Linked DNA regions of Saccharomyces cerevisiae S288C. The protein of the gene in region 1 interacts with the protein of each later gene in a pairwise test. Each region holds a gene or a part of one and is shown in the gene's direction. Other genes may lie near its edges.

Region 1 (9,731 bases):
ACACCGAATTTCATATCGGTGTTTAATCTGTCACCAACCATACAGCACTTTGATCTATCCAGGTTGAATGCCGATATAATGCTGTTTAGCATATTTTGATTTGGCTTACCACAGTACGATGGCCTCCTATTAGATGAGAATGCCAATGATTCAATCATGGAGCCTGCACCGGGAAATGTATAACCCTTTTGCGGGAAAGTAGAATCAACATTTGTACCAACAAAGTGAACAGAATCCTTCTGCAAATACTGCAGTGTAACAGCCAAACGGTGGTAATTTACCTTCGTGTCTAACCCAGCAATAACACAACTAACATCCTTATCAAGGCCGTTCACCAAAAATGGTGATTTAGCTGCATCGAACGGCGTATCCAATCTGGAATCGGCACCTCCTAGAGATTCGTACCCCATTAGTTTCAATTCTTCACCAATACCGCTTTCTCCAAATACCCATACCTTATCTTTGCCAGGCTGCAATTTCAGAAAGTCACGAATATAAACAGCTGACGCATAACCAGAGGTGAAAATCTGTTCTTCTTTGACATCAATACCAAACGAAGCAAACTTTTTCGTGTATGCTAAACGGGACTTGGTAGAGTTATTCGTAACGAAGATCAGTTGTTTGCCCAATTGCTTCAAAAGGTTTAGAATTTCCAGGGTGTATGGTAATGCTTGAGAACCTAACCATAATACACCATCACAATCGAACAGAAACGTGTCATATTTGTCCAAGAATTCTTGAGCAATCTCCTTATTGGTTATCTTTATTGGTACACCTTGTTGAGCAGTCATTTTCCCGAGTTGTATATTCTTTGTCAGGGCAAGCTATAAGGCTTTTTTTGTGATTTGGCTCGAGCTTGATATTTATGTCTGCTTGTTATAAACCGATTGCGTCAATTACAATTGAAAAATTCACTAAAACGGAAAGAACATTCACCGAAAAAAAGAAAAACCGGAAAGTTAATAGATAAGGGACGTCATTAATATACGATTAAGTAAATACTGAAAACGTGCTGGAGAATAGTAAAGATGTCACATCACCATCTTCAACGTCTTCCTCTACAAAACTTGAGTTGATAAAGAAGCATAGTATACACAAACGTATGTATCTCTTCAGAGAACTATATCCTGTGAGGGAAGATGAGACCATTCCCCATTATACTTCTTGAACGGGTAGTTGCGTCGAACAATCTACTTCCTATTCATATCTAAATGTTTATATAAATATATGGCTTTTCTTATCCACAGCTCAAGCCACTTATATCAATGACGATGCCATGAATAAATTGTCCAGGTTAAGTAAATCGGAACCCAAGTCATGAATAATTTGGCGAGAAATAGTTTCCACCAGGTTAGCTGGCCAGGTTGGGGCTCCCCAAATTCTTGTTTTAAGTTTCAATGCGTGAGCACCATCAATTATGCTTTTAGCACAACTGATCTCATTCGAATCCATACGACCTCTTAGCGATACTTTCCAATGATCAGAACCACAATGTTTCATTAATTGGCTGAACGAAACCGTCGCAGCTACAGATAGCTTTGAGTATTTGGGCTCCAAACTTAACAACGGCGCATCTAGAAATGCAAACCTTTGACTTGACTCAAAATAGCCGTTATCATTTCCATTGTCTAAAATATCCAATGACGTCGGGTAGTTGCCCGTTAGTATCACAGTAACAGGTCTCCAAATAATTTCATCCTTCTTCATATCGTAATATGTCAAATATCCAGAATCAATCAGAGATTTGAAATATTGCTCCATCAGCAGTTTATAAGTTAGTTCGTTATCATCCGACTTGAAATCAATATAAAAGAAGAGTGAAGTTTCTGGAGAGTTGAAAAATACACCATTTTTGCGATCGGCGTCTGAATCTTGGCAATTCACCTCGTCTAAAATCTCCAAGAGGGGGCCAGTGTATAGCTTGTCTAATGTCAATTCAACTGGGTCCAAATACGCTTCATTATGACCCACAGCTAGGATCTTTTCATCTATATTCCACACGTCGGCTTCAGTACTACTAGCACCATAGGCCAGACCTTCAAAAAGCGGAAGTTTCCTCCAGTAGTCATTATGGGAGTGAACTGGCATTGGGTTAACATCTTTGTTCAACTTTGCGATAGCAGAGTCTACTGGTAAACACTTTTTTGAACTGGCACGACGTAAGATATATTCTTTGAATACATCATAATATAAAGAAACGTGTTTGTGACGATACTTTTCCTCTGAAAAACTTAGAAATGGCAAGTTTTCCTGGAAAAATTCTAAAAGATGTTGACCGGTCAACCCAAAGTTATCAATATTCGATATTTTCTGGTCCTTTAACTTTTCCCAATCAGTTAATGAAGGATTTCTTCCCCTACTGGAAAACAAAGCACAGACAGCAATAACGTATCCAATAAGAATAGTTAGACACCCTTTCAGTCCTAACATCGCTTAACTAAACCGAGGTACTTATCTTTGTTGGTCTTATCTCGAGTCATATTTTATGCCTATCCGGCGATTTATCACTCGGAAGTTTGGATAGTTTCGGATTATAAAAGGAGACAAGATAAGGATTTTAAAACAGGCCATTGGCAAAAGAACAACATTTTATTGAATGAATATATGAATTGGGCTGTCCTTTGAAGAGGATATGACAAAAAGTGATTTATTATTTGATAAATTCAACGACAAACATGGAAAGTTTCTAGTTTTTTTTGGTACCTTTGTAGATACCCCTAAATTAGGAGAGCTGAGAATCAGAGAGAAAACATCTGTTGGAGTTCTCAACGGAATCATCAGGTTTGTGAACAGAAATTCACTCGATCCTGTCAAAGATTGTTTAGATCACGATAGTAGCTTATCACCAGAGGATGTCACGGTGGTTGACATAATTGGAAAAGACAAGACTCGAAATAACAGCTTTTATTTTCCAGGTTTTGTTGACACGCATAACCATGTCTCGCAATATCCAAATGTCGGCGTATTTGGGAATTCTACCCTGCTGGATTGGCTAGAGAAGTATACCTTCCCCATAGAAGCCGCACTAGCAAACGAAAATATTGCGAGAGAAGTTTACAATAAGGTAATAAGTAAGACGCTTTCTCACGGTACAACGACTGTGGCTTACTATAATACCATTGATCTCAAGTCCACTAAGCTCTTGGCTCAACTAAGCTCCTTATTGGGGCAGCGTGTTCTTGTTGGAAAAGTGTGCATGGATACCAATGGTCCCGAGTATTATATTGAAGATACTAAAACTTCCTTTGAAAGCACTGTGAAAGTTGTTAAGTACATACGGGAAACCATTTGTGATCCCCTCGTAAATCCTATAGTGACACCAAGGTTCGCGCCCTCTTGTTCTAGAGAACTAATGCAACAGTTGTCCAAGCTAGTCAAGGATGAAAACATACACGTTCAAACCCACTTGTCGGAAAATAAGGAGGAGATACAGTGGGTTCAAGATTTATTTCCCGAATGTGAGAGCTATACTGATGTATACGACAAATATGGGCTGCTCACAGAAAAAACAGTATTGGCACATTGTATTCATCTAACAGATGCCGAAGCGCGTGTGATTAAACAGCGTCGCTGTGGTATATCTCATTGTCCCATTTCCAACTCCTCTCTGACTTCTGGAGAGTGTAGGGTTCGATGGTTGCTGGACCAGGGCATAAAGGTTGGTCTAGGCACCGACGTTTCAGCCGGTCATTCTTGTAGCATACTCACCACCGGAAGGCAGGCCTTTGCAGTTTCAAGGCATTTGGCAATGAGAGAAACTGATCATGCAAAACTTTCAGTCTCCGAGTGCCTATTTCTTGCTACAATGGGCGGAGCACAAGTCTTGCGTATGGATGAGACCTTGGGGACTTTTGACGTCGGTAAGCAGTTTGACGCTCAAATGATCGATACCAATGCTCCCGGCTCAAACGTGGATATGTTTCATTGGCAGCTAAAGGAGAAGGATCAAATGCAAGAGCAAGAGCAAGAGCAAGGGCAAGACCCTTATAAGAACCCACCGCTGCTTACTAATGAAGACATAATCGCAAAATGGTTCTTTAACGGTGATGATCGCAACACCACTAAAGTTTGGGTAGCCGGCCAGCAAGTCTACCAGATTTAGTTGTATATGTTTAGAGGGCTACTATATCTTGTTCCAAGTATTAATGAGTAATTTGAGTATATGTACAAATTTCTTTTGCGTATCGCGCTTTAGCCGCCCATTGTACAATATTAAGATTAGGAACACAAAGAGATTTGCCAGTGAAAGAATTGCAAAACTCGGTTTGGGATTTTGAATGGGATAGTTGAATACAACAAACTTCTCCGAATATGAATCATTGGTTAGCATTTTTGAATAAGCCTGAATCCCTAAAGGAACAAAACTCGGATTGCGACCAGCAGGGGGAGATGAGACATGTTACTGATGGCACTTTAACTAAGTCTCCAGAAAGTAAACCTTTTCGAGAGCGGCGTTCACAAACTTGGATAGACTCTGAAGTACCTACGTCCACTGAAAAATCTAATGTGCAGGAAAGTATTTCTTCTGATATTATATCAAAACTGTCGAATAGGCGTTCCCGAAGAAACCGCTCAGAGAGTTGGGCAGGTTCAGAAGCCTCTTCACCTTCTGGTAACATTAGTACATTGGAAAATGCTACGGAAAAAAATACTTTAAAATCGCCTAATAAATTTCTACAAAGGGGTGGTTTACCAACTGTAGGAATAGGCTCGCAGGCTCTGTCACCTGCAGGAAAGCCCAGTACATTAGGAAATGTAAGCCCTGGTAAATTTACCACATACAAAGTACACAATAGTATTGAAGTGAATAGATTTTCTTCTACACCTACAAAGCTCCTCACGAATCCCCACAAAGTCGCAGCAATCTCAAATGATGAGCATTATGTTGTAAGCAATGAGAGTCTGGAGGAGAATATAGAGGTTGCGCATCTAGAGAACGTATTTCGCTCATCTAAAACTCCAGATGAAGAACAGTCCGAATATATGAAATTAGGAGAAATTAGGCTATCTTCTTCATCATATGGAGGAAGTATTTCTAAAGAAAATAGTTTACCCAAGGTATTAGATGAGCTCCAGTCCCAAAATGAAGAGATCAAAGCACTAAGACAAAAACTAGAAGAGAAGGATGACAGGATTCAAGAACTAGAAGAACTTAATAGCATGAATGATGCTAAACTTCAAAGAATAGAAGACTTGCAGAAGGAATTCCACAACGAAAGAAAAGCTGCATCAAAAAGGCTCAACATTGTTCAGGACCGGTTTCGCAAAGAAATTAAAAAAATTAGAGAAGAAAAAATTACAGACTTTCAAAACAAAAACGCTAGCAAGAAGGAGAAGAATGAAGTGACTAGTGCCAAAACTAAATGTAAAGCTTTTTCTCAAAGAAATATTTTAGTTTCGGAACTATACAGGAAGCAAAAACAAATCCTAAACTTGCAGCAAGAAAATGATAAATTTCTAAAAGATATTAACGAATCGAATAACTCTATAGTAAAATTAAGATCTGAAGTTGAAATACTGAAAAGCAATTTGCAACTTTCTCAAGATGAAAATAAAAAATTACATGATAATGGTTCGTTTTACGAGAAAAGGTTAAATGATGTTTACAGCTATATGCAAAATCTTTCTCTTTTTGAGAAAGACCTTGGTAAATTCATACTAGAAGAAATGAAATGTGGCCATTCCCCTTCGATGTTTCAAAACGGTTTTGCCAAGCTTTATCCGGATTTTCAAGATATCAAAAATCTTGAAAATATGGAGCAATACAAACAATTAAAAGGAAAGATAGAACTTTTGGAAAAGAATGACCGTATACGTCTTGAAAAAATCATTTCTGTCTTTAAATTGATTAATGAAAGATTACATTTTATGCAACAGCAGCACAGTCACAAAATAAAATATCTTCAAAAAGAGGCGTTAACAAAAGAACAACAATTTCGTTTGGAAAAAAGGAGATGGCATGATATCCTGAACCTCAAGGAAGAAAACTTTCAAAAACTGAAGAGCGAGTTAAAAGAAAAATTAATACTAAGTGAAAAAATTCAGAAAAATGCCGAAGATAAATTGAACGATTACATGAATGAACACCAGGAAATTGTTGAGAAACTTCAGAATCAGGCTTTGATTGCTTCAAGATGGAGCACTCAAATTCAAGAGTCAGAAAACACACATAAGAAAATTACTGACGAGTTAGCTGGAAAACAAAGTGAAATATTAAAACTCGAAGAAACAATTCTATCACTAAAAGAAGATGTATTCCAAGAGAAGCTGAATTTAAAAAAACTATATGGTGATCCTTCTACCGAACTTAATTTTGAAACTGTTGGAAAATCTTTTCCACATATAACGAAGGAAAAGTACGACTCCTTGGGTCTTGATATTCTGACAGACCTTACCTATGTGCAATCGCAAAATCTAATCAAAAATTTATTAATTGTGTTGGATATCCCATTAAAAACCTTCTTAAAAATTGTACCAACAATTGTCATTCAACTTAGATGTGAGCTTACACTTCTCACAAAATTTGCTAATGATTTGAACCTTAAGGTTTTTGGTAAACAGTTAGATTTCAAAAGTAGAAGAAAGGTCGCAATGAATGAGTTTTTGAACAATCATGATATTGCTGAAGTAAAGCATCCTCTTGAGTATGATTTGCAAGCGTTGTTTAAATATTTCTTTTCTTAGCTTTTTTTTTTTTATTTAGAACTAATATATTCAATGGTGTCATTAATTATTATTTAGAGAATAAGTTACTGGTGGGGGGTGCACCTAAAATAAAGTCACATAATATAGAGCATGGCAGATATTTTACCGCTGGTATTGCTTTTCCGAAATTTTGGTGGAATATTCTTCTGAAAGATTTCAATTTGCTAACAGACTTCTTAAGCACTTACAAGAACAATGTAACTTCTGATCTGCTGTTGGAGATGTTCTGAGATATAAACAAAATTTACATCAAAAGGCGAGTAATACAATGATACAAATGATTATAAGTACATACTAATGTTACAATTTCTAATTCCATTTTAGTCAGAATATACTATGTTGTATAATAATAAAATAATGTCCATTTCCATAGCATACTGGTAAGATTTTATTGAAATAGGCAAAGAAAAAAGCAAAGAACTCTAATAAGAACGACAAACCTCGAAATCTGAGGGGAAGGAGAAGAAAAAAAGGAAAATGAGGGGAAACTTACAGTTTCTGCCTATTATTTGTTTATTTCACCTTGTATGACCGTTGTGGTCGAATCTTTGACTGTGACAGGAGTTTTTATGTCACATTCGGAATAATCGATTGTTTTACTTTGCATAACGGTGGAAATAAAATGGTTGATTGATTCGTAGTTATCTAATTTTTGTAACTGCACATCTTTTAAAAGATTCATTAAAAATTTCGGAACCATTGCCATTTCTTCATTGTGAGTAATCAGGTAATCAACTATCTCAATAGCCAAAAAGTAATTTTCTCCCTTGTTTTGAGCGAATGAATCAACTAAACCTGATTCTGGTTCGTCAGGGACGTTATCATTGGAAATTTCTTTATGTCGCAAATATAAAATATTAGGTGTTATGACTGTGGATAAATTGTGAATGTCCATTTTTGATCCCATTTCATTCTCAATGTAAGAGAATGAGGACGTCCAATGCAAAAATGACAAAAGTGCCTCCAGTAAATTGCGATTGTAAGTGGGTAATAAGGAATATATTAGCAATATAACACGCTGTTTCTCATCCTCTAAATCAATTTTCGCGGCCTTAATCCATAGTTCATATAAGTCTGTCGATAAAATCGGTTGGGGAAGCTCTCTGATAAATTTCTTCAAAAGAGCAGATAATTGGATTGCATTTTCTTTCGAGAAGTCTGGAGCTTCTGTTGGATTACTGTCGATGTTAGCAGTTAGTTCTCTCAGTCTTCTGATATTTCCATTTTTCCTGAAAATACCTTCTACTGACATATCCATTTGCCTCAAAGATGATATTAGCTCGTCAATAATTATGGGGATCCTAATCTTCACTGGCCCCACACCTAAATCGGAATCAACACCCCATTTCTCGCACAACACATCTAAAGGAGCACCAAAAACAGTCTTAGTGATGGGCTTTTTAGGCTCCATGCTCATCATGATTTTCATTCTGTTCCAAAAGCTACCTGTGACTTGCTTTTCATTCGAGAAGACCATTGAGACTAAGCTAGTATAGTTAGGATCAGTCTTCGATATCAGTTGTTTACCAGCTAGCAGTGACAAACTGATAGCCCTTATCATCGAGAGTTCCATCGTACTTAATTCAGAGTAATAAACTCCGCTTTTCTTGGGAACAACATTCGAAGTTTCGTCATCGGTTTCTTTTAGTTTTTTAAAGTGTGCAAAAGCGTTAGGTCTTAGCTCCCTTGCTTGTTCAGCGGCAACAATACGTGAAATATCATCTAGTGTCAACGTCTTAGTATTACTGAAAACATTTTCACGTGTGCTCACTTGTTGGCTCGATGATGGGTCATCTGTTTGAATCACAAGATTTTTACTATCTCCTTGTTTTGTCGGGTCATTTAAATCTGTCTCTGCAGTTTCCAGTATCACTGATTTTCTAGCTTGTTGTTTGTTATGAGTGACCCGAACACTTTCTCTTCTAGATCTCAATCTTTTAATATCATTCAGTGTCCTAATGTAAGTTTGTTCCTTTAGCATAGTACTCTGTAAAGAGTTTCTGCCTACCTTGTTAGATGCTTTCGATTTCAACATTACAGTTCTTGATTTGACTAGGGCAATTTTTAGAAGAAAAATTAGTTGTGCTAGCTTAGTAACAAATTTGAAACCCGGCACAGAGGCCGGATCATCAATTGAGCAGTGAGAACATAGTATCTTTTTTTTCTCTTTATTAAAGGTGGGATCCGTCAAACTCCTCGGATTTATATTCTTATGGCATGAAGAACAAGTAAAACAAGCAATATGCCACCGGTGCTCATAAAATTGAATGCATTCCTCCTGTATGTATTTATTGCATCCAGCGCAACTATCTGTGGCGTTAACAGGAGTCTTTATATACTGAAACGGGTTATTTTCAAAAAGCTCATTTTTCTCTACTTCTCTTAAAAACCTCAACAATGGATTAACAGAATGAGTCAACTTATTGTTTTCTAGAGCCGTATATAGCCCAAATCTTGTTAACAGTTTTAGAAAATGGGCTAATCCAGTAATAACAGACATAAAAGATGAAATTGTGATAGTTTCGTTTTTGTTTTCTGTCCCTAACTTTCTTAAGAGTTGTAAATATATCATAATTTTTGTGGACAGATTTTTGGGAAACTTGCTGTATTTACTGGCCGCCATTGCGTTGTTTTCAATGCATTCTTGATCACTGTTAACTGGCATACTTTTGTTCGTCGAGAGGTTTAAAGTATCCAGTCCCCGGAAAAGACAGTCGATTTTTAGTACCAACAGACCCGTAGACTCTATGCCCTTTAACTGATCATTGCTTGTCAAATATTGAAACATATCAGAAATGCAAGAAGCTGCCTCTTCCTCAAAACGATATAAAACCGACCACGTTTTAGATAGAATAAAGTTAAACGCCTGCATTTGTTTATCTAACTCGTAGGCAGTTGGGTTTATATCTTTGTCTCCGGAATTTGGGTTATATTCCAGCTTGGGAAGGTACTGCAAACCAACAGTTTCTGCTGCTAAATTTACATGCCAATATTTATGAATTCCATAACATTCCGGATGCCAACAA
Region 2 (9,123 bases), on another chromosome or scaffold:
ATTTGCATGAAGAGTACCTTCTTTTGCAAGAAGAATTAAAGAATGTGTACAAGATTAAATGCCATGACAGAGTGCCAATAGAAAGTCTACGCGATAAGTGCAGAAGACACTATAGCAACGAGGATAGTTCGTTTCTCTGACAGAGGCAATGCCTTTTTTGCTTCACGTGTATATATATCAGTTGATATGCGTTTTCTATACAGACATACATGTATATACACACATATATATATATACATATGTACGCAGAGATATATTAAATGGGGGTTCTAGTTTCAACAATTTGATCTTTCAGTTTCTCGTCCCATTCCAGTTTCTTCTTCTGTATATAAGCGAAGACATCAGACATTCCAGTAGGGTCTATTTCCTGCGTCTTGATATATGGCATACCATCCCTAGAGGTAGCAGAACCGTATTTTACGTCTTGTTTCTCAAAGTTTGGATTGGCCAATCTAGTTACGTATACTGGGGCATTGGCAGCTTTATAACCATCAATATTGTGCCATGGAGACCCCAACAGCCTGGCCAAATAGAACAAGCATAGCATGCCGAAATAGGTGAAAAAATTCAAATATTCGGAGAAGGAATGGCTTGTAAATATGCCCGGTTGAACTACATACTGATTTATGCCCAGCTTTTTCAAGTCTTTGTAGGTGGCCAAATGCAGTAAATCAACTAAACGCTTGGAGCCCTCATAAGAGGCATTTGTCTTTAGTAGTTCAATATCGTTCAACGAAAGATACTTAGGATCGGACATAATACTCGAAATCCAAACAATATAAGCCTTTCCCCTGGTCAATTGAGGCAGAATTTTACTGATAAAGTAGTACGGACCAAACACATTGGCCTGGAAAATAAGCCCCATGTCATCTTTAGACTTGACGCCCACCAGTTGTATCTTGTATGTCGGATTTGTCACTGCCTCCAATGGATTGGTGAAAACCTCCTTGACCGCTCCGATCCAATCTATACCGTCAAAGATACCTTGCGCAGCATTCACGAAAAGGTAGTTTATCGCCCTGTACTTTTTGTTGATGTCGTAATATGCGTTCAAGACACTCACCATGTTGGTGAAGTCCACCAACAGATAATCAAAGTCTATTTCCAAATCCTCTACACGGCCTGATTTGTTGTAAAAATCTTTAATCTGGTTAATCACCTCCTGCACTCGAGGAAGCGTTCTAGAAGTCACCACAATGGTCAATCTGACATTGGTGTCCTCAGTTTCAATCAGACGGAACACAATGTTCAGACCAAGATTACTATTAGTACCCGTTACGATAGCTACTTTCCTGTTCATCCTATCCTCCTACTTTTTCTCTTTGCTACTTTTTTTCGACACAGATCATGTGCTTGTTTCTCGTCCTATCTTTTAAATACCTGCTCAATTCAAGATGCCGTTCTTTCGTTAAACGACCATAAATAAAGGCCCACGTACTATCGGAGATAAAACAACGGGTGTGCGAAAAGTGCCATTTATCTGTTATAACTGCTATATGCGGATACATAAACAACAAACACTTATACAAAGTGTTCAATGAACCTACTCCATAGAGTCTTGGCCATTCTCCTACCTATATACTTGCCCAGCAGGGGCAGCAGGACCCAGTTGAGCAGCTTGTTCAACTGTTGCAGCGACTCTTCCCATTGACGCTGTGCATCTGCGAGCTCGTTGCTGAGTGACGTGTCCTCGTCGCTGAGGTAACCATCTTCTTCCAGGCCCTCCACGCTGTTGATTGTGTCGATGCCCTGCAGGATCACAGAGGTATCCTCGCTATCTGCCATGTTCTAGTTATTGTTGCTCGTGCAGTGATGTGCTGTGGTGCTGGGGAGTGGTTTGCTCTGCCGATCTTGCTTGTAACGGCCGGCCGTTAAATGGGCCTTCGGGGTCCAAACGAGGCGCGGTTTCGTGAATCTTGCTTGGCTGTTTTTGGCTTGTTAATCCCAATTTGCGATAGTTTACGTTTCCACGGGGCACTGCTCAACGGGTTTAGTTCCGTGGAGCAGATGTGTTGCAGATACTAGTTGATATTTATGTTGATGTTGATCATTCTTGTGGCACAAAAGTATAAATAAAGCAGCGTGCTCTTTTTTGTACGTGGAGTAGTAGAAGTATATTCGCAGGTCTTTCTCTCATTGTTCAGGACATATACATACGTAAGCGTAGTTTTCTTCAGTAGAATGTGGACAAACACTTTCAAATGGTGCAGCAAAACTGAGAAGGAGACCACTACTGCAGACGCCAAGGTGTGTGCTAGCGTGCAGGGCCTGAAGGCCCTGCAGCAGCAAATTATGGATAGCACCACTGTGCGTGGGTCCGTTAATAACACGATGACTCCAGGCGGGATTAACCAGTGGCATTTCCACAATAAGCGTGCGAACAAAGTGTGCACGCCTACAGTACTAATCCATGGATACGCTGCCTCGTCGATGGCGTTCTACAGGACGTTTGAGAACCTGTCAGACAACATTAAAGATCTATATGCCATCGACTTGCCAGCCAATGGTGCCTCAGAGGCGCCAGCATTGCAAGTGAACAAAACCAAGAAGATCAAGTCTCTCAGGTTTAAGCATATAGAAGATGACGTAGTAATCCCTGTGATAGAGAAGCGCCCCCCAGCAGAGGACATCAAGTCACACCTGGAGCAGTACGAAAGCTACTTCGTAGACAGGATAGAGCAATGGCGGAAGGATAACAAGCTTCGCAAAATAAACGTGGTGGGCCATTCATTCGGAGGATATATTTCATTCAAATACGCCCTCAAGTACCCTGATTCCATTGAGAAACTGTGTCTCATATCTCCTCTTGGTGTGGAAAACAGTATACATGCTATCACCCACAAATGGGAGCCCAACACCACCTATCCACTTACGTTTACCGACCCATCGTCCCGATATTATACAAGAAAGCTGAACGTACCGCGGTTTATCTTTGAAAACCAGCTAAACGTTTTGAAGTGGATGGGACCCATAGGCTCCAAATTGTGCTCGAACTACATCTCCACCGCATACGTAAAAGTTCCGGATCAGATATATAAGGACTATCTTTTGCACTCATTTGTCGGGAAGAACCAGACGGTGCAACCACAGACAATCAAGGTGTTCACCCATTTGTTTGAAAGGAATCTGATCGCTAGAGATCCGATAATAAACAACGTTCGTTTTTTGAACCCAGCAACGCCTGTCATGTTCATGTATGGCGAGCACGATTGGATGGATAAATATGCGGGCTACTTGACTACTGAATCAATGCTAAAAAACAAGGCAAAGGCTAGCTACGTTGAAGTCCCTGATGCTGGCCATAATCTTTTCCTGGACAACCCGCAGCACTTTGCCTCTTCTTTAGTCTCGTTCCTGTCAAAGTAATGCCTATATAGAGTAGAGAAGAAAAATACAATATGGAAAACCACGCATATATATATATATATATATAAATACATACATATACATAATACATCACTTTACTTAACCGTATACAAGATAGAGCAACATATACATCAAGAGTGTAAACCTCTCATATGTGAGCGGATGTTCCGATCCATCCCGAACGAAACAAAGCAAAATCAACAAGTTGACATCGCCGTAAGTTTTCAAAAATAGCCCTTTTAAAACTCGAAGCTCTACACAATCGCAGCAATGATGTTGGAGCCTTCACCTCCACCTTTAACAACAACGGTAACACCCTCCCTTCCGTCCAGTTTAAAGAAATCTGTGACAGATAATGACCAGAATAATAACAACGTGCCCAGGAAGAGAAAACTAGCATGCCAGAATTGCCGTAGAAGAAGAAGGAAATGTAACATGGAAAAGCCTTGTTCAAACTGTATCAAGTTTCGTACCGAATGTGTATTCACTCAACAAGACTTAAGGAACAAAAGATATTCTACGACTTACGTAGAAGCTTTACAGAGCCAGATTCGGTCTTTGAAAGAACAGTTGCAAATATTAAGTTCCTCGTCTTCCACAATTGCTAGCAATGCTCTCTCCTCGTTAAAAAACAACAGTGATCATGGTGATGCTCCTAATGAAAAAATCTTAAAGTATGGCGAAACAGCACAATCAGCACTACCATCATCTGAAAGCAACGATGAGAATGAGTCTGATGCGTTCACCAAGAAAATGCCTTCCGAGAGCCCTCCACCAGTTGGCACAAATAGTATATATCCATCAAATTCCTTGTCTATAATAAAAAAGAAGACGGATGGAAGCACAAGATATCAGCAACAGCAGGTCAGCCTAAAAAATTTATCAAGAAGTCCCCTTATCTTAAGATCGTTGTCACTCTTTTTCAAATGGCTATACCCGGGACATTACCTTTTCATTCATAGAGAAACTTTCTTAAGTGCTTTCTTCGGTGATACTAACACTAAAAGTTACTATTGTTCCGAAGAATTGGTATTTGCAATCGCTGCATTGGGATCTTTGATTTCATACAAATCAGAAACTGAGCTTTTTCAACAATCTGAAGTGTTTTATCAAAGAGCCAAGACGATAGTACTCAAAAAAATTTTTCAACTGGAAGATTCTTCGTTAGCTGAATCGTCGTCCTCTTCGAAATTAGCAATCATCCAGACTCTATTGTGTTTGGCATTTTATGACATTGGAAGCGGAGAAAACCCCATGGCTTGGTATCTTTCTGGGCTGGCATTTAGGATTGCCCACGAAATCGGCCTACATTTGAATCCAGAAGCATGGAGTAATGTTTATGAAGACGAGCTGTCAATAATGGATTTTGAAGTGAGAAGTAGAATTTATTGGGGCTGCTACATTGCTGATCATTTAATAGCGATCCTCTTTGGAAGATCAACTTCCTTGCGTTTGTCCAATTCCACTGTTCCAGAAACAGACGAGCTACCTGAAATTGAGACTGGTATAGAGGAGTACATATATGACCCAAAAGTAATATTGTCCACTGCAAACCCCTTGAAGAAACTGATTGTGTTATCGAGAATAACGGAGATTTTTGCATCCAAGATTTTCAGCCCAAACGAAACTCTACTTCAAAGGAGTGAATACTTGGCCAAATTTAATCTGGAGGTATACAATTGGAGAAGGGATTTGCCCCCTGAACTACAATGGACCAAGAGGTCATTGATGGAAATGACAGATTTTAACCCAACCATAGCTTACGTATGGTTTCATTACTATATCGTGCTAATTTCCTATAATAAACCTTTCATATACGAAATCAAACAAAGCCGGGAATTGGTTGAAGGTTATGTTGATGAACTGTATTATCTTTTAAAAGTTTGGAAAAATAAATTTAAGACGTTTGAGAAGGCCACAATTTACATGATTTATTCTGCGATTTTAGCCATCCAATGCATGAAGTCCAACTTGATTAAAAAGGATAGAAAACAAGACTTCTTAAATTTTTTAAGTGCGCCTACCCTGAATTACGAACTTGCTAGAAAATTCATAGAAAACTCTGAAGATGCTTTGCATAATTCAGAAACTATGGATTTATTAGGGACTCTATCTCACGGTAACGATTTTGCCTTAGAGTACAATTTTGACTTTACTTTATTGAATGAGATTGATATGCTGATTGGTGGAAACACCAATGATGGTTTGTCGAAGTAATCTTGAGTGAAGAGGATATGTTTACTTGAACAAATATTCTTTATGTAATGTGTTTGTAGCCTTTTTATTTGGGAAGGAATATACCGCTATCCTTTCCCACCTCCGAACTTATCGATTCGGAATTTTAAAGAGCCTTCCAAATGACAAAAAAAAGGATTGTAGTTCCTAGATAGCGAAATCGACTGAGCAAGATAAAAGCAAACATTCCCCATCATCTTTGGCGACGACACATGTGTTCCATAAGCTAAACTCAAGGAGCAAATGATAGTAGATTATGAAAAGGACCCTAGGGCTAAAGAGGCTATTGCTATTTGGGAAAAAGGTGTACTGAAAGAGAAGGATGGGTCAATGTCAGATGCTATAAACTTCTATCGAAGTGCATTGAAAATCCATGATAATGTGGAATCACTGTACAGAAAAAAAATACTTGATGAGTGGATGCTGCACAAAAAACTATCGGGATTATCAATGACTACTGATGCTCCAGATGAACAAAATGAAACCGGTAAAGATGACTTATCTGTTGAAGAAAATGCTGAACTTCAACCCTGCTGGATTCTGGAAATCTTGCCTGACGACATTTTACTGAGAATTATTAAAAAAGTTATATTAATGTCTGGTGAATCTTGGGTGAATTTGTCGATGACTTGTTCCACCTTTAGCAAGCTTTGCTTCCACGATTCTGTGCCATTTAAAACTTTCGCGAAGTACATATATTCTAAGCAAATATACGACAAAATGGCAATGGATCTTAACGGAATCACCGATATAAATACCTTTGAAAAGGAAATATGGCGGGGTGATGATTATCGTATGTTAAGGGAAAGGCCATATATTAAATTCGAAGGTGTTTACATCAGTGTAGTAAATTATGTAAGATACGGTTCCAATGCAGAAAGTTCGTTATCTCTTTTAAAGCCAGTTCACATGATCACCTATTACAGGTATTTCAGATTTTATGAGAACGGCCAATGTTTGAGATTACTTTCTACAGATGAACCTAGCGCTGTCGTGAAGCACTTCTCCAAAGAGAACAAACCCAGGCATAGTCATATGTGTTATTGGAGCCTCGGATTTGATTATGATTTTGGTCATTTAAAGATAACAAGGTCAGATGAAAAGTATACGTTTATCGAAGAATTCCAAATCAAGAATCAAGGCAATAAGAGATATCAACGGTTGAAATGGCTAAGTTCAATTGTAGTGGATAAGGAAGGGAATGCATCTAACTGTTCGTTGAGAAATGAGAAATCTTTTTTCTTCTCCAGAGTGAAATCTTTCAAGGATCCTGGATGACATCGATGTTTTTTGCAGTTGTTTTACTTTATTTATTATTCTTATAGATTTATGTAGAACTATTATTTCATCATATGAAAGATTAAAGAAAGCAGATCTCAGCTTAAATAAATTATACTATAATATTAAAAAAAGATAAATATTAGATAATAAAAATTGAAAGACACACGTTGAAATATTTAGTAAGAACAACGTATCTATAGGTTTAATTCTTTTAAAATATACGATGCCAATTCTTTATATAGCCACGTATTACCAGAAACCTTTTTGAAATGTACACCTGCTAGGCCGACGATACGAACCTTTACAATGTGAATCTCAAATTTAATAGGAGGCCTTTCTTTTATACCAGAAGTATTGGTTTGCTCTGTTTGACCATTTACGTTATTTATATTTTGGGCTCTTGATGTTGTTAAAATATCATCCTGTTGTTGAACATAATCTAATGACATGGAAGATAGTTCCCCTGATGTACCATTACTTTGGTTTCCGTAGTTTGGAGACATTGGGATAGATGAATTTCTTTGATGTGTATTGGTCGCTAAAGGTGTTAGTGGTATATTATTCTGGCCCCTCTTATAAGAACCTTGGCGTTTTATCGAACTATTTCTTGATGCTGAGGACGCTGTACTATGGTAACTGGATGATAATTGACTGTCTAAACTATTTTGCAGATCCATCGCCTTTCCGGAATCCAAACCCACGCCAGTAGTGGTTATAACAGGGACAGCTGCAGTCTCAATAGATGGCCTTTGTTGGACACATATGAACCCGCCTTTCACTTCTTTGAAATCAATATTCATTCTTGTTAAAACAGATATGATATTGTGACGAACAATAGGCAATGGTTTAGAGGAGGTTGTTTGTACAGAGAAAAAACCCTTCAAAAACATTGACTTTGGATAATCAATTGATGGCATAGACCCGGGGGGTGCCTTTGAAGCTTCCTCCAAAATTTGCTTCTCAGTAAGCTCCTGAGAATACACCGAAGTCAGTCTATTGTTAGTATCGTTACTGTATGTGGTAGAATCTTCAGGAACGGTCGAAAAGTTACTGCTAACAGGATTGTATCTCTCCTTGTTTGCCTCTCCCAAAAAGCCGTTATCGTTTGTCATATCTGATGGCGGAAGGGCTGCTGGTATAGGCGGCCTAGTAAATTTCAAAGATTCACGACGAGCATGCCCCACCGATTTAGCCCTTGCACTAGGATGTAACTTACGACCCTTCGGAACGGAGAGATAATGGTCACTATTATCATTATTGATACCATCGACTACAGCGTTCACATTGTTGTTATCATTATCATTAATTTGTAATTTGTCGAGATTTTCCTGTAATAGTTTTTGCCGTTGTTTTTGAACAATTAGTTCGGCGTTCTGAGGTAAAGCTGGAAGATCACTGTTTTGCTTTTGTGATACTGACCTTATAGGAGGTGCTATGGTAGTGTTTTTAGCGGGTTTCTGTTTTACATCAACAGAATTTGGCACGTAAGATGGATATCTTCTAGCGCTAGGAATATAATCTGATATAGTACGACTATGGCTTTTCGGTACTTTGATGGAAATTTCATTTGATTTTGACATATATGTTGGAGGTTCTCTTTCTGGAAGAGGTTCCTGTTGCCGTGTGGGATGCTGAGATTGTCCACTTTGTGATATTCTTCTGAATATGCCGCCTATTGTATTCTTTTCCTGATGTTCACCTACTACGGGTGAAGCAGAACGTTGCTGATATTCGCCAGACACGGGGACTGGTGTTGATTTCAAAACACCATTTAATTCCGTATGAATGTCGGAACTCTTCCTAGATGTTGGAGAAGTATGCGCTTGTTCCGGTATTGTTAGTTTAGGAGGAACCATTACATGCAGTGGAGGTTTGTTTGAGGTATTAGTGTTGTTTGAGGTTCCCGATGTTCCAATTGCCGGCACTTGAAAAATACCAGGATTAGGTACTACTTCTTTCTGAGGGCTCCTCATTTTGGTCATAATATCCGGGGAGTTATTATTTAAGGCGACCTTAGTGCCAAGTGCTACTTGTTGCTGTTGTTGCCTTTGCTGAGCTTGCGCTTGCAGGGCCAATGCTTGCCTTCTTTGCAACTTCGCTAATTTCCGTGCAACCATTTCTGAAACCAAGTGATATATTGATAGTAATGGATGATATGCTAAAGTAGGATCTTCAAAATTACTATCTGGTTCATTATAACCACTTTGCGATGGATTACTTGTAATATGATTTTGTATTAAG

What was found.
Region 2: the proteins of ADY3 (region 1) and CHA4 interact in a two-hybrid assay, tested with the Saccharomyces cerevisiae proteins (2 studies listed by BioGRID).

What each region holds. Positions count from the first base shown.
Region 1 is NC_001136.10:23,356-33,086, reverse strand, and holds ADY3 (Ady3p), read left to right. Parts: upstream 1-4,311; coding exon 4,312-6,684; downstream 6,685-9,731. Other genes in the region: PHO13 (4-nitrophenylphosphatase), read right to left, coding at 1-791; AIM6 (Aim6p), read right to left, coding at 1,258-2,430; GUD1 (guanine deaminase), read left to right, coding at 2,633-4,102; GTPase-activating protein LRG1, read right to left, coding at 7,211-9,731. UniProt on the Saccharomyces cerevisiae protein: Involved in the pathway that organizes the prospore membrane (PSM) during sporulation. Mediates the assembly of the DON1 ring structure at the leading edge of PSM during meiosis II.
Region 2 is NC_001144.5:333,987-343,109, reverse strand, and holds CHA4 (Cha4p), read left to right. Parts: upstream 1-3,636; coding exon 3,637-5,583; downstream 5,584-9,123. Other genes in the region: APC9 (anaphase promoting complex subunit 9), read left to right, coding at 1-140; ERG27 (3-keto-steroid reductase), read right to left, coding at 257-1,300; MIM2 (Mim2p), read right to left, coding at 1,522-1,785; lysophosphatidic acid acyltransferase ICT1, read left to right, coding at 2,182-3,366; SCF ubiquitin ligase complex subunit HRT3, read left to right, coding at 5,845-6,879; serine/threonine protein kinase KIN2, read right to left, coding at 7,077-9,123. UniProt on the Saccharomyces cerevisiae protein: Activates the CHA1 gene for L-serine dehydratase. Binds to the DNA sequence 5'-GVGGARAYRTRATTCCRC-3'.